2 linked regions of the Pelodiscus sinensis genome follow. The protein of the gene in region 2 purifies or fractionates together with the protein of the main gene of each other region. This does not show direct contact. Links are inferred from orthologs where the notes say so. Each region holds a gene or a part of one and is shown on either strand. Other genes may lie near its edges.

Region 1 (8,144 bases), on a different chromosome or scaffold from region 2:
GGCTCAAGTGACTTGCCCAATCGCAAAGAGAGATACATTGGTACAGCCAGAATTGTTTATTTATAAAAACTTGTAATATAGGCCATACCTCTAGTGTTCTAATACATACAGTATCCAAAAAACTAAACATCTAATGATTTTCCCATACAACTTGACATCTGACCACCCTAAATCCCCCATTCCAACTCTTCCAAATGCCCAAGAGAAACAAACAAGGAAGATTTACTGAGCATCCGGAATACTGACAAATCTGGCAAACGAAGTGGGACAGTGAACACCAGATTGGAATAACCATGGCAGGAAATGTCTTGTTAGTAGCTTCTCCCACATAATCATAAATACCTGTTTTCACACAGCTAGAGAAGCAGTCTCTCAGGTCTGAAACCATTTCTTTAACAGGCAGTCCTTAGATTTAAGATGCAATTGGTTCCTTAAAATCTGAGTTACAAAATTATCACAACTCAAAACCACAATCCACTTGATTGTGGAACTGAGCATCGGAAAGTCGAAACAAGTCAATTCAGGAACATTCTAAGGGCCTTCTATCATGAGCCAAACGTTGTAAATTGAAGACTACCTATATGTATTTATATTTATAAAAGATACCCACCCAATGCTCTAGGTACCCTTTCAGCTATTAAAATTACAGTATCAATATATTAGTAAACAAACTGCCATAAAACTTCACTTGTATTATGCTCCAAAATAGCAAATGGCACTCCAAAGAAATGCATAAAAGTAGCCATGTTCAGGTTAAAACTTTAAAATCCTAATCTCTGCTGGAAAGGAACTAAATAGTTAGTGAAGATGGTGCAGTGAGTTTCATAAGCTCAAACTAAACTCCTATATGCAGAAACCCCATTTTGCATTAGCTTCAACTTTATAATGATCTTAAGATGTAGCATTATGGAGAATGTATTATAGTTGTATCACTGCAGACCGTCAGATACTTGGCATGGTACAAGATGAAGCACAGTAGAAAGAGGATAGTCAGGAGAAAAAAAAAATAAGGGGAGGTGGAACTGGTGACCAATATGGTGTGCTGGTCTCAACCATGTCTTCAAAAGGCTGGCTTAGGTGATGAGGCCCCTTAGGGTGGCCTGAGGCCTGGCCCAAAATTGACAGTTTCCTTTTACCACTGCAGTTCCTTCTCCTACAGCTACCCTAACAGCTCTGCTGTGAAAAACAACTGCTGAGGATGCAGGCAGAAGTGCCTTTGCTTTTAAGCTGGCACCCACATAGCCGACTGACCCTCCCCCTCTCACAGAGGCAGTAGCACAGGGAGGCACGTGGGAACTGGTGCTCAGGGAGAACCAGCTTAAAACTGATTAATTACTAGTCAAGTAGTCAAGGGAAATTCCATGGACTACTTAACAAGTAAATTAATTGTTATTTAGCATCCTTACTTCGGTGTGCAGGAGGGAGCTGCCACGGAGCAGGCTCTGGACAGGAGGTAGGGTGCAGGAGCAAGTTGGTGGTTCTGGACCATTCTGCATTTGCCTCGATTCCTGGCCAATGGAGGAAGGGGAAAAAGCCTGCAGTTGAGTGCAGGGACAGAGTTTTTCTTAACTACTGGCAATGAATGTGGATCTAGCCCAGGGAGGGGCAATGGTAGAGCACAGATCCACCTCCCCTTCCATCTCTTCCTGGCCAGGGAGAGCTGTCCCAGAATGCAGCGCTTTCGTAATCCTGTCTGGCTTCTTCCCACAGCAAGAAGCTGGGGGTCTTAAAGCTCAGAAAATGTAGTTGTACCTGTGCAAATATATATACACAAGAAAAACCAAGGTTTGCACCAATGAAACTCACCTTGCACTCTTACTATGTTTAGCTGCTGAAGAATTTATGTAGGATTTATGTACTCTAGCCATTGACATTTTTTTTATTTCAGCCTCTCGGCTTCTAAATTTAAGAATGAACTAAAACAGCTCACAGTTAGCTACAGAAGGTGGACTTGGAAAGGATGTTTAGAGCCATCCTTCATAGATTCTACTCTAAAACCAAAAGGGACCACTGTAATCATCTAGTCTGACCACTTATATATCATGGGCCATAGAACTCTCAAAAAAATAATTCTCCGAGCATCTATTTAGGAAAAAGATCAAATTTGATTTAAAAATAGTCAGTGATAGACTATCTACCATGACACCTGGGAAACTGACCCAATTTTACCCACTTCTTCTGCTGCAGGGTAGGTCTGTAAAAGGTTAACTGTGTAACTGTATGGAAACCGATGCTTATTGGTTAGCCATTTAAATGGTTTTACATTCCTAATGTATAGTACTATTTACTGTGCCGATAGTATGTGAAATGCCGACAGATAAGATATCTTAACACTAGATTCTGGATTTATTTTTGATGCCTTACCTGTTCTCGCCAGCAAAAGCAATTTATTCAAAGCCATTCCAAAGTTATGGCTATTTAAAACTAAATGTGTTTTAACAATGAAGTATTCAAAACAAAACAGTTCCAAAAAAAATCTGAATTGTATGGGTCTCGCACATAAACAGGGCAACACCCCTCATTAAATAACAGTCTGTAGAGATTAAGGGGCAGTCTGTCCATGAAGTCTGCATTAATCTTCTCGCAGGATCATCCTGAGCGGCTAAATCTTAGCTAATCTTAATGACTATTGCTCGGGGGCGGTTCCTGTCAGATGAAGACGGGGCAGGACACCGAGCGTGCAGGAGGAGGGCTGCAAGTCACCTAGCTGCTGCCATGCTCCTCGTCAGGCGCTCTGCTCGGCATCCAGCAGGACCCTGGGATTCTTTACTTCCTTGAAATGGGCAGGAGCCCTGCAAAGCCCTAAGCCCACGTCTCGTCGGAGGGGCACTGCCCTGACACAAGGAAAGGCTGCAGCAGACAACAGCTAGCGACAAAGGACAGAGCTGGGACTCCAGCGCCCCAGTATAGGGCCGGGGGAGGGGCACCAAGCCGCCCCCCCAGTGAGCAACAGCGGCTTTTCTCGTAGCCCCCCCCCGCTTTAGCCCACTGGGCCCGCGCGCCCCGCAGCCCGCAAGATGAGGCCTGGGGCCAGACTCCAGCGCCTCTCTCCGCCCGTACAGACCTGAAAGCCAAACTCATGGTTGCGTCCCCACCCCCGGCCGGACTGGGCTTCCCCCGCCGCCACCGGCACTGGACACCAGCAAGGGCGCCGCTCTAGCTCCCCTTGGAAACACGATACAATGCAGTCACTAGTAGCGGTGCTCCCTTCTGTCGCTAAGCTAACTGGCTGAGCACCCGCTTCCTCCCGCCCTCCTCTCTATCGTACCCTCTTATTGGTTAAAATGCTTGCCAGCCAATGTGACTGCCCGCCTTCTATTTAGTTTGGTTGAGGTACGCAGCTTCCGTTTTTACCCAGAATGCCCCAGGGCTTTGCATTGGCGAAGGGACGATTAAATTTCAAAAGCGGTGGGAAATGGGGAGAGTCCCGGATGTATCTTGGAGACTCCGCCCTTCCGTTGTGGCGTCAGTCCACCCTGGCTGAGCTTTGCAGGCCCGCCTGTGAGTCTGCGGCGCTGGGAAATGGTAGATGGTCATGTCTTCACATCCAGACATTACGTGTTCATTCCCTCATATTTGGATGTGCTGTAACCACAAGACCATAATGTGCTACTGGAACAATAATAGAAGTAAATAATGCTCAGCATTCCCCTGCTATCGCACACCTATCCAGTGTAATCCACTGGAAAATGTGTGTGTTGTGGTTCCTTGTAGCACAGGTTGGTCTATATATTGAATAATAGCATTTTTTTTCTACCAGTTCCTTGTTCCACTTCAGTTTTAGAGCTGTGGATTGAAGGTTGCAGTTGCTGGTATCTGAAATAGATCTGTATGAGGGTGAAAATAGGACACGTACCAACTCCCGCCAGGCTGTCCTTTCCCCCTTCCCCCCCAGTGCTGTGCCTCTGTATCAGAGGCAGCAGTGCTGCGGCAGGTGGGCAGTCAGCTCCAATGGAGCCACCTGCCATCCCCTGTTGCCTCCCACAGAGGCAGCACTGGCGAGGGGGTGGGGGGGGTAGATGGAAGCTGGTGCTTGGGAGGGAGCCAACTTAAAAGCCAGCTGCCCTTCCCCCCCTGCAGTGCTGCTGCCTGGGTGGGAAGCAGCTCTGCAAGAGCTGGCACACATGGAAAGCCAACTTAAAAATTGGCTCCTCCATGTACTGGCTCCCACTTGCTTTCTCCCTTCCCCCGGTAGGGGGAGTGGCTACTGTGGAGCTGGCACCCACCTCTTCCTGCTTCTAATACGGAGGAAGTTGGGAAGGTGCATGTAACCATCAGGAGGATTAAGCAGTGAGCCCAGAATTATCGGTAAATAGGTATACGCTAACATCTCTAGGTGAAAACTATGCATACATTTATACAAGTTAGTATGATAATCATTAAATAATTATCGGGATTATTTGATATTACAAAACATGCGATTGTTGTCCCTTTTCACCTGGTCAGCAGAAAGGGCCCTGATGATATTCCAGTTAGGAATAAAAGTTGAAGGAATCTTGTTTATTAACAGGGAACATACAAAGTCCTGTGATTCTGTAGGTAGAATCAAGAATACTGTACAGTCTCCAAGTCTCTTTAGTCAAATCAGACCCAAAAGCGTGCTCTAGCTTTTTCCAGTCACACTGTACCACATGATCCTGCTTGTCTTTCTTGCTTCTCCTTCCCTCTCTTTTTGTCTGTTTTCTGTGTCTGTCTGATCTCTCTTCTTACTTACATCGCTGCCCAAAACAGCATTCAGCCAAAAGCCTTGAACGAGTTCACATATACCTTCTGTTTCGTGGGGGGCTTCTTCCATTATAGTGGTATTAATTGAAAAATAAATTCACACCTATTTATCTCAATGGGGTTTTAATAACTCAACCTATGACAAGGTTTTACTCAGTTTATAACAGTATTTAGAGGTGAATTTAGATTTTTTTTTGTTGCAATTATCTTTGGTTAATGGGAGCTGCCCTCTGATGGATAGAATGTTGGAGATTTAGAAAGTTTGTGAGAGAGCAATAGGTGGGAGAGTTTGCCAGAGTCCCAAAGATGATTCTTGTGTAAGTTCCAAAAAAGCTCAGAACTTAATTCAAAACTTCAAACAAGACTCAGTTCTCAGAGGTGAAACATTAGCACTAATAGGATGCCTCTGGGTATTGCTAATGAACCTTTTGCCTGCAGGTTCCCAGCTTGAATCTTGCCCAGCTCAGAAGCAATTAAAAGTTGCTCCTATTTAAAAGATGCTTGGTAGTCCCTAGATTAGATGAGTTTGGGGAGTTCCAGTGATGATCTTCTGTATCATTTACCATGTTGCCTGTTCTTCAAATTTTATTGTGAGTCTTTGGTGTAAGTCCTAGTTCCTTGTGTCAGGTGACTTGACAGAATCATTTATACCTGAGAAAAACCTTGAAAATATGACTAAAGTGTATCGGTAAGACTAAAAAATGAGAAAAAAAATCCCAAAATTATCTGAAAATCTCTCATAATTTTAAACTCATTTTTTGTATTTGAGGAACTGACTCAGCTTAGCTATTACACTCTCGGGCAAAGAATGGTAGTAAGGGTATGTCTACACTACCACCCTAGTTCGAACTAGGGTGATTAATGTAGTCATTTGAAGTTGCAAATGAAGCCCGGGATTTAAATATCCCGGGCTTCATTTGCATCTTGCCGGGTGCCGCCATTTTTAAATCCCCGTTAGTGCGGACTCCTTGCCCGCGGCTACACGCGGCACGGAGTAGGTAGTTCGAATTAGGCTTTCTAATTCGAACTACCATTATTGCTCGTGGAACGAGGTGTAACGGTAGTTCGAATTAGAAAGCCTAATTCGAACTACCTACTCAGTGCCGCGTGTAGCAGCGGGCACGGAGTCCGCACTAACGGGGATTTAAAAATGGCGGCGCCCGGCAAGTTGCAAATGAAGCCCGGGATATTTAAATCCCGGGCTTCATTTGCAACTTCGAATGACTACATTAACCACCCTAGTTCGAAGTAGGGTGGTGGTGTAGACATACCCTAAGATATTCAGGGCAGGGGCTGGGAGCTTGTCTGCATAAGGGGTTAATTAGCAACTTTTTGCTGTGTGTCACGTAATGCATAGTGTACAAAATTATATGCCTTCTGACAATGGAAATTACTGTGTACACATAGTGGCAGTTTTTGGTGAGAACTGAGGACATGGTGTTCTCAGAGGTTATCCAATGCTTTTTTGCTTTGCTGTGGAGCAGTGTATTCTGGGGAGTATGTCTTGGCTCTGTCTTTTCTTGTTTGTAAGGCCATCAGAACCTGGAGTTCCATATGTCACTGTTCTGTGTCCTGAGCTGGAGTCTGAGGGTAATTGCCTTTGGGAGCAGGTACGGCAGGGAAGAGTTGTTCTCAGTAGCTTGTATTGTCCAGGAATTGGATAACATGACTGGGTGTTGGTTTGCAATAGTATTGAATTACCAGTATGTGAAGTACTAGGGCACTTTGTCTTTTTATTGCCTCCGGGAGTTGCCTCTGCATATTATTTTTTCCCCATATTGTCTTTGGTAATGGCAGTGCTTTTTGTGGCAACTGTTATGTTGTCCTTTTCCAGTGCCATAATCTCCCAGGAAAGATTTTTGTCACATTGTTTCTCTGTCCTCAAACGCTGTCTCTATCTGCATTTTTCAGTTTTTTGGGTGCGGTCTGTGTTACAATGTCCATGAACATTTCATCATGATTTCTCTCTTTGCTTTGTTAGAAAAGTATGTAATGCCAATGCCTGTCTCGTGTAAAGTGAGAACACTAACCAGACTTCTTTTTCTCTGACTGCTGCCTTAGTAAACATTATGGCTATGTCTACACTGCGCATTGTTGCGCAAGAAGATATGCAAATGAGCTGCCATTTTCTTTTGCGCAAGAAGGAGCTGTCTACACTGCTCCTTCTTGCACAAAAAAACCCGTCTTGCGCAGGAGCCGTTCTTCCTGAAAATAAGCGGCAGAACGGCTCCTGCTCAAGAGGGTTTTTTAGCGCAAGAAGGAGCAGTGTAGACTGCTGCTTCTTGCACAAAAGCCCCTTGTGCAAAAATAGTGTCTCATTAGGTACGCAAATGAGGTGCAGCCAAGAATGCGCAATGTAGACATAGCCTACGTTTTTCTCAAAATAATGTTTTCATTATTTGAATCCAGTACTGCAGGAGGGGGAGGGGGGAAGGATTAGGCTAGTGAGTGGACCGCATGTGTAGCCCTCCATCTCAGTGGGCAGCAAATTTGTCATAATTAAGATGATCTCCTGGGATAAGGCAGTTTTGCTAACAGCATTTACGTACTTAGATTTTGTAGGGTATGCTGATTAAACCATAGTAGCATTTTGATTGGATGCAGAAGGAGCACACAACTCTCACAATCAGTGTTGCATGCAATCAGCAGGCACCTCACTTCATGTACCCTTGCTTTTAAGTGCATGTCACTGATATTCTGAAAATCTTAAGTAGTTAGGGCTTCATCATGAGATCGGCTAAGTATCTGGCTTCTGAGTCTCTACCATTTGGAAAAGGACCATGAGTGATGGAGGGACAAATAGCAGCATGGGCTGATAGCGGGAACAAGGCAGGAAACTGGAACTAATCTTCTAGCACTCGTCCACCTAGAATGGATGTGGCCATTTGGCAACTGGAAAAGAAGCTAGCATAACACTAACATAATTAAAAATATTAAATAAAAAAATTAAATATTAAATTGCAAAAATTAAAATAGATATACATGCCAAGGTGTACTGCATAGGATCTAATTATTCAATCTTGTTTAGGGTCTCAGAACAGGTCCAAGATTTGAACAGGTCCAATTTGCTCAAGGCAGATTGTAGGACTTTTGGAATATTATCACCGCTATTATAATAAGATTGACTACAGGAGCAAACAGACAAAATCTGCTGTGCTCCAGCTTATAAGGAGACAGAACATCTGGTCAACTTGATACCAGAACAGGAGAGGGCACACAAGTAAACAGATGGGTCATCTGGGTAGGATAAGCATTGGAAAATTGCCAATGCAGTTTGTAGCACCATTGCCTACACACGAACAATAGACTGAATTCATGTGATTTGCTGCAAAGTTAGTAAACTTCAAATGAGTCAAGAATTTGTGATAGTGTGCTATAATGAATTGCATCCTGTGTACACATTTTTCCCCAAATCATAT
Region 2 (8,543 bases):
TGAACAAAAGAATAAATCTGAAATTTTCTAAATAAAATGAAAAGGAGGGTGACCTGAAATAATCCTACCTTTGCATATCACAAACTTTTAAAATTGGATTTGTAATTTCAAATTTATTTATAAGAACACTAAGCTTCTTGTATTTCCAATAATATGTATTCTTAAAATCTCTTAAAAAGCACTCCAGAAACTTAGCATGATTTAATTGGAGTTTACTTTTCTTTACAAATGGGAGGAGAGGGGAATGGAGGAAAAGTACATGTTTGTGGGAGGCGCATTCAAGCTGCTGCCAATTCTCCAGGTTGCAATTATATTTTAAATGTGATTTAAACATGAGTCTGGCTTCTCAAGACTGACAGTAACAATCAAAAGAAAGAAAAGGAGTTGCCAGTATTCTGCCCCTCTCCTATTAATTTCAGTTTCTCTCTCTCTGCAATGCTTTTGGAGCATACAGTTTGTATCAAGAGGCTAAATCAAATAGACTGTATTTCTCTTTGTTAAAAACCTGTCAGCAAACACTCATTCCTCCAACCTCAACTCCCCCCCTCCAACCCTAATGCTCGCTCCTCCCAAATAAAACAAAACAGATGGAAACTTCAAACAAAGTGAACAAAAGAGATTTTTTGTTCCCTCTCCTCTAGAAGATAGAGAATAAAATCATGGTAGTTAGAAAAAGAGACTGTGTGTTCTATCCTGCAACATTTACTCAAGCACAGATACTTCAATGGGACACGTGAGTAAGGACTACTGTTTGGAGCTAGAACTGCAGATCTCTAGTAGGAGGATCTAGTCTATTCCCCCCTACAATACAGAATTATTTCTCTTAGTATGCATATACTGGGGTTTGGGATAAAATTTCAATTAATCATTTTATTTATAAACCACGCAACACACACTCTGCCATTGCTCTGTTTAGAGAAAGGGGGATCTTGTGGGCCATTCAAATGAACTTTAAATGTTGTTATGAAATTATATGAATTTGTTATTTACAAAGCATCACCCTCATTTTACTATGTTCACCCTCACAATTACTGTATTCAAACAGCAGCATTAGCACAACAATTTAAATCCTGTTTACCATAAACCAGAAGGATTTAAGGAAAAGTTGTTACACAATTAGAGCTCAATTCTACAAGGGACCTGAGGGCATTCAATATCTTGATTTTTATGGTTCCATCTTCATAACTTCCCCCAGACCTTTCTGGGGACATTTAGAACACAATAAAAGAAAAAAAATGATAAAACCATTTCAATCATTCTTTTAGTATGAGTCCCCTCTCTCTCTTCCTTACTGTTTCCCTCTACCCCAAGTGCATTGCTACAGAAAGAGGAAAATGCAATGGGATTAAGGAAGAACAACAGGTCAACCTACAGCACTATGCTCTTAAAACAGTATAACAAAAAGAAAGTTGCTAACATCACACTGACAGTAAGGAAAAAAGTAGCTTGGGATCTTACCTCCCGCAGACAGAGGGATTTGCACCTCTGTACCATGCTACTTACCACCCTGTTGTCAGTCACCACTCCAAGACCTCCAACTGCTCCCCACCATAACCCATCAGTGCCCACAGTTCACATAATGGAACAACGGTATCTCTCTCTCTCTAGCCATAGTCTCAGCACTGGGCTCTTCATAGTTAGCGCCTGTTCTTTGACTGTTTCAATCACAGAGTGCCCCAATCACTGCTTAACCACCAACCCAACCTCTCCCTTGATCCAGCCTTGTTCCCTGACCTACCTTTTCTCTTCAACACTTGCCCCCAAACTTCCTTGTAACATATGAGCCCAAGTCCCCATCACCTCCAGCACCTACACCCACTAATTTTCAATCATCCAGCCCATTTCAGCTCTTTTAACCATACCTGTCCGTTCCCCTGAGTGCTCCCTAAGCCTCGCATCCCATCACATTTATCACTCTCAGGCTGAACCTCGCCCTAGCCTCCAAAGGGCCATAAACTCTCCCTTGGCCTCCATTATCAGCTTCTTCTCAACCTCACACTGTGGTGGGTGACCTCCTCATTCTCCTTGTCTCAAGTTGCTACTGTGGGCATGAAAGCCCCGGAGCCCCCACCTGTGCGTGAACGCCAACGGCCCCCTCCCCTCATGGGGATAAAGCCATTCCGCTCCCCCCGGCGTGGGGAGTAAATCCACATTTCCCCATTGAGAAATGAAGCACTTCACCCCCCCCCAAAACTGGGGTGAAACCAGCTCCTCATGGAGTTAGACCACCCCACGCTCCCCACGGGGGGGGGTAAAGCCCCTTCCCACTTCACCCCTTAAATTGGGGGTTCAACCCCTCAGCCCTGCTCTGTACCCCAAAACCTCCACGGGGGGGAAGCCCCCTCACATCCCTCCCCCCTGAACTGGGGGTCAATCCCCTCAGCCTCCAGGGGAGGGTTAGAGCCCCCCCCCCCAGCTTTCCCATAAGGGGTGAAGCTCCCTCATACTTCACCCCCAAACTGGGGTTAAACCCCTCCTGACCCCCCAGCCCCCCCTCGGGGTGAAGTCGCCCACCCTGGGGGTCAGGCGCCCCCGTACCCAGCCCCTGGGGGGGCGTGAAGCCCCCAGACCCGTCCTAATAAGGGTGCAGACCCCCCCCCTCACAGCCCCAGTGTGGGGCTTGAACCCCTTCCTCCAGCCCGCCTCGGGGGGTGAACCCCCCTCCCCCCGGGGGGGGTCAGATGCCCCCTCCCCCCCAACCCCTTTATTTACCGCCATCATCAGCACGCGCGAGCTGTCACCGAGCGCGAGACACCCCAACCGGGGCCGGCCCCGCCCCCTCCCCGCCCATTGGCCGCCAGCCTCGCCCCGCCCCCCGACGCCATTGGTCGGAGCGCACGCCACACACTCAACCTTCTCCGCCCTCCTCTAGCGCTGTACGCCCCATTCCCCGACACCACTTACGCCATCTTCGCAACGCTCCCGTGAGCGGCGTGGCGGGTTTCTTCGGCGCGGTACGCCCGCGAGCGAGCGCCGCGGAAGCTTTCCCGCGTGTTAGGCCACTTGCGCGGCACAGACCGCGAACTCTTTACTAGAGTACGTGAATTGCGTGGGCTTGCCGCTCCATTCTCCGCGGCCCTACGCCGCTTGCGTAGCGGGAGATTTCGAACGCGGGACTAGTGTGCGTCGCTTGCGTAGCCGGCTGGGAGGCACTTCAGTGGCTTACGGCAGTTGCGCTGCGGAGTGGGAGGGGGAGAAGGGCGGAGGGGCGGGGACTCGATGGCCCCACCCCGGACCAGTGACGTAGCTGGGCTTTGTGAATCGCAGGCTGAAGTTTGGTTGAGTCACACGAGGGTAAATAAGGATGTTTCAGAGACAAAGAGACTCTTAAAGGGGCAGGGGCGTCGTGTGCTACAGGCCACGCGCTGCGCCTGGGCAGAGCAGCAGCAGGCTGGGGCGGAGAGGGAGCAGCACAGGGCTCCAGCTAGCCCCCTGGGCCAGGGACACCACAAGGGGCGCTGCCACGGGGCCACGTCCAGCACCGCCATTCCACGGGGGGCGCTGCCACGGGGCCATGTCTGGCACTGCCATTCCACGGGGGGCGCTGCCACGGGGCCATGTCTGGCACTGCCATTGCACAGGGGCACTGCCACGGGGCCACGTCCGGCACCGCCATTGCACGGGGGCGCTGCCACGGGGCCACGACTGGCACCGCCATTGCACAGGGGCGCTGCCACGGGGCCACGTCCAGCACTGCCATTGCACGGGGGCGCTGCCACAGGTCCACGTCCGGCACTGCTATTGCACGGGGGCGCTGCCACGGGGCCACGTCCAGCACTGCCATTGCACGGGGGCACTGCCACGGGGCCACGTCCAGCACTGCCATTGCACGGGGGCACTGCCACAGGGCCACGTCCAGCACCGCCATTGCACGGGGGCACTGCCATGGGGCCACGTCCAGCACCGCCATTGCACGGGGGCGCTGCCACGGGGCCACGTCCAGCACTGCCATTGCACAGAGGCACTGCCACGGGGCCACGTCCGGCACTGCCATTGCACAGGGTGCTGCCATGGAGCCACGTCTGGCACCGCCACTGCATGGGGGCACTGCCATGGGGCCACGTCTGGCACCGCCATTGCACGGGGGCGCTGCCATGGGGCCACATCTGGCACCACCATTGCTTGGGGGTGCTGCCATTGCCCGGGGGCACTGGCACGGGGCCATGTCTGGCACCACCATTGCATGGGGGTCACGTCCAGCACGTGGTCACGTCCAGCAGCGCCATTGCCCGGGGGAGCTGCCACGGGGCCACGTCTGGCACTGCCATTGCATGGGGGCACTGCCACAGGGTCACGTCTGGCATCACCATTGCATGGGAACACTGTCGGGGCCACATCTGGCACTGCCATTGCATGGGAGTGCTGCCACGGGGCCACATCCAGCACCAGCATTGCACAGGACCATGTCTGCCAACACCATTGCATGGGGACACTGCCTCAGGGCCACATCCTGCACTGATGCACGGCCCCACTTCTGGAATCACTAATGCAGAGGGATGCTGCCACAGGGCCATGTCAGCCACCACCATTGCACAAGGCCAGGGCCACATCTGGCACCACCATTGCACAGGGAAGTTGCCACCGAGTCATGTCCAATGCCACCATTGCATGGGGCCACATCCAGTACCACCACTGCACAGGGCCCTGTCTGGCACCACTAATGCATAGGGCTGCTGTGATGGGGCCACATCAGGCACCACCAGTGCATAGAGCCACTATTATGGGACCATCTCAGGCAACACCATTGCATGGGGGCACTGCCACAGGGCCACATCTGGCCCTTCCAGACTCTCTGATGGGGGCCACACCAGGTGTTGCCATTTAATGGGGACGCTGCCTTGGAGCCACACAAGGCACCACCATCACATGGGTCACTCTCGTGGGACAAAGATGAGATGGCATAGGCCACTGTCCCAGAGCCATGGGAAACATAGCTGTCCCTAAGGACCACTGCCGGGGGGAGCTACTATCAGAGGCCCCAGTCCCTGCACAAGCCAGGAGACTCCATCACAGCATCCTTGTAGAGCACCCTGTCAGCCTGAACACATAAGGGAACACCCAGGGATAGGACCACATCGCGAGTACACCACTTGCTATTACAGCAGCCCTGTGCCATGATGAGATCCCACTCTCCTTGGGGACAGCTGCGGTAGTCAGGGCGACTGCAGTTGTGTTGTGAGGTATGTGGCGCAGGCGTGTTCTTCCATGGAAGCTGTGTGGTACAGTGTGGCAGCAAGTGAGACGGACATTTTCTATCAAAAGCATCTACCAAGGCAGCATCACAGCGATAACAAGGATTCCACCTCTAACCCGGGTCCTCCCTTGATACCAACGCATTCTGCTTTGATTATGCACTGGCCCAGAGTCAGGTGGTGTTTTAACCACAATCCCCGTGAGAGGTTGTTGTAGCAGTGCATTTCAACAACATCGTATGTTTGAATAGGCCACATTTTTAAGCAGCACAATGACATTTCGAAGCAACGTCGTTATCATGTCACGGTCTGAGGCAGCGTCCAGGCCTTAAGCCATAACAGCCCAGTTTGGCTATATGTGCCCCCCGAACAACTGTTTTGCCTCTTCAGACAGTTTGTGTTATGGGACAAGTGCACATTGCATGCTTACGTTGCAACAAAGATTCACCTCCTTGTAGTCCCTCTCCGTCTCAGTGCATCTGAAAGTATGCTTGCTGCATTCAAAGCATCCCATTGCTATCAGGAGACCCAATGCTCTAGTCTTGAACAAGGCACAATCCTTTGAGCAGAACTCCAGCCATCTCCTGGCAATGTGGATCCCAAAGATCACTTCACAAAACACTTAAAAAACAACATAAAGGAAAGGCCATTTAAATTCCCTTTGGAAATCAGGAGAATTGAGCTTCTGTCTGCTAACAACCTCCCTTCCCTTGTTCTCTCTCTCCTTAAAATTCACTTCTTCCAGGAATCTTTCAGACTTTATACCAATACCTTTGGCCCACCTCTGATCAAGTTTAGGCTCTGGTCCTAAACAGAGATCCACACTGGCATTTGAACTTCTATTTAGTTTTCCTTCTGGAGTGGGACCAAAGACTGTGAACTCATGTAGCCAAATTCATCCTTGGTGCAATTTCTTTTATGTCAAAAGAAGTTTAACCAACCATTATTTTGGCCCTTTATAGGAGTAAAAATTTGAAACTAAACTAAAAAAATTGAAAAACAAGACATTTAACAAGCACAGTAATCAGCTCAAACAAATAGAACTAAAATAAACTTAATTCTTTGAATATACAGTAGGAACAATGGCGAACAGCATTAGGGCTCCTTAACATTCTTTGATAAAAAAAACTCTGTCAAGAATACTCCTGTAGAACACCTACTCATTTGAGACTCATCTACATGTTGAAGAGACATCAACTTGAAAAAAACAGCCAAGTTGAACATTCACCTAGTTTTGTTAGCATCATCTAAATTGTACTTGGAGTAAAAAAAATGGAACGTTTTATATTTTTGCATTCCACGGAACTTCGACTATCCACAAAGTAATTTTTGTGCACCTCTTCTAGATAATAGGGTTGAGAATTAAAAAAAAAAAAACCTAAATGACAATAAAATCATAAAAACTGTCCATGTATTTTAGGACTAGATGCAGTACCCTAATAATTGAAATACTGGTTTAGATTTTAAATTGATGTATGCTCATTTAAAAATTCAGAACAGGACTATAACTTATCTTCAACCCCATGAAAACGGATTTAAAGGCTGTGCAGATTATCATCCTGAAAAGCTAAGCAACTTCTGATTGACACTTTTTGAACAGAAAAATCTCCCCCCTCCCCCACTCCTAACCCAGACCCAGCAAAGACATTTCTCTCGCAAAAAGGCATCTGCCTAAGTACTCAGACCTATTTTAAAAGTAAAAATTGAGCAAACTGTGGTAAGTCAAGGGCAATGAAAAACAAACCCAAGCCCCTGATGAGATTCGCTCTCCATTTTCTTTCAACAAAGAGACAGTTAGGAAAAAGGCATATTTTACTTACATCAGTGGAAATGCAAAAAATGAAAGCACCATGATCAACCTTGCTGTCCATTCATCAGGTAGATACCACAAATATACAATTAAGCAAGTACTAAGATAAAAGAACTAATGAGTAGCGAAGGAATCTCCCAAACCAAAGCCTTTGATTTTTCCTTCTCTAAATTCTTCTAATGCCTGGATTTTATCAGAATCTTTTTTGTATTGAGTGACATTTGCAATATTTGATGTGCCCAATCTTCCTGTCACAATTCCACAGCATTTTTTTAAGAACGCAGGCTGGAGAAGAGGGTCTGTCTGGAGAGCAGAATTTTCTGGTTAAAGATCTTCGTAATTGTGAGCTAGTGGCCACATGCTTGCAAGCGCTGCACACCAGACTCTCCCCTGAAGAGCGCAAGCAAGGGGATTCGGTGACTAATGTGCATTTGCGCTGCAAGACTGAACCCCAAAATAGCACCCTGTGCTTGATATATTTAAATGGCTAATGTATTTAAATACTGTTTGTTGTGAATCATCCAACCAGACCTACTGAGACCCGCTGCCACATTATTTAACTTATTCAGAGTTAAATAAATTAAAAAGTGCCCATACAAACTCTAGGTGCCCTGACAATTAATTACCGACAAAAAAAATTGTTACCCCATTCTTCAGCCCCCCCAATCACATTTAAATCACATAATGAATTAACTAACTCAGCCAACCAGTAAATCAAAGCAACAAAACAGCTCTCCTCTTTCCAATCCTCCAGAAATGTATCCTCAACCTTCCTCCCCAAACCCTGTCCAATTGCAGCTTGCCTGGCAAATCAGCAGGTGTACTAAGGTCCCAGACATCAGTTTTGCAGTTTACTTTTTTAGACAGAGGGCTACAGTGTACGGGCTGGCGATGGAGAACATGTTTGGTTTTTGCTTTTGTTTTTAGAAGAAGCCATGTGCTTGTTCCCGCAGGCTACTTGCGCAAACCCAGAATGATATAAGGCACAGAGTTTAAGGGCAACAGCCTTGCTAAGCCTCTGGGCATGGAATTCCCCGTGACCTCAATGGGAGTTCAGCAGGAAGAGTAGATTGCAGGGACAGGGTAGTTCTGCTCATTTGAGAGACGCTGCATTCTGAAATTAAACAGAGAAGATCCTTGCCTAATGGCTGTTTATTTGTGAAATTCTTTGGGAAGGCATTTCAGGAAAGCTACACAAAGGTCTTGCAGCTGCAGAACCAAGGTAAACAGCCACATTGCTATCTACTTAGCAAATAACACACACCAAAGAAAAATGTAAGGAGGAGATAGGAAATTTACAGACCAGCCAGGAAGCTTCTCATTGTTTAGATCATTTAAATGGAGGGAAATTTCATTAGCTCTCCATCCTGATAAGTAAATCATTGCTACATGAGATCCAAGCCCTGCAGTAAATCTACCTTATTAATCTTAATAGTTCCAACTCAAGTCAATGGGATTTCACAGGTGAGTAGAGATTTAAAGCACCTGGACCTCTATCAGTTTTATCAGATACCTTTCTAACAATGAGGTAGGGTGACAGA

What was found.
Region 1: the proteins of USP49 (region 2) and CETN3 purify together in Homo sapiens (affinity purification with mass spectrometry; 4 studies listed by BioGRID and IntAct, with this or other methods). This does not show direct contact. The link is inferred for Pelodiscus sinensis from reciprocal best matches to the Homo sapiens genes USP49 and CETN3.

Annotation. Positions count from the first base shown.
Region 1 is NC_134716.1:74,601,136-74,609,279, reverse strand, and holds the start of CETN3 (centrin-3), read right to left. Parts: upstream 3,223-8,144; 5' UTR 3,082-3,222; coding exon 3,065-3,081; intron 1-3,064. UniProt on the Homo sapiens protein: Plays a fundamental role in microtubule-organizing center structure and function. As a component of the TREX-2 complex, involved in the export of mRNAs to the cytoplasm through the nuclear pores.
Region 2 is NC_134737.1:9,530,690-9,539,232, reverse strand, and holds the start of USP49 (ubiquitin carboxyl-terminal hydrolase 49), read right to left. Parts: upstream 3,295-8,543; 5' UTR 2,905-3,294; intron 2,800-2,904; exon of another isoform or gene 2,713-2,799; intron 1-2,712. UniProt on the Homo sapiens protein: Deubiquitinase that plays a role in several cellular processes including transcriptional regulation, cell cycle progression or innate immunity.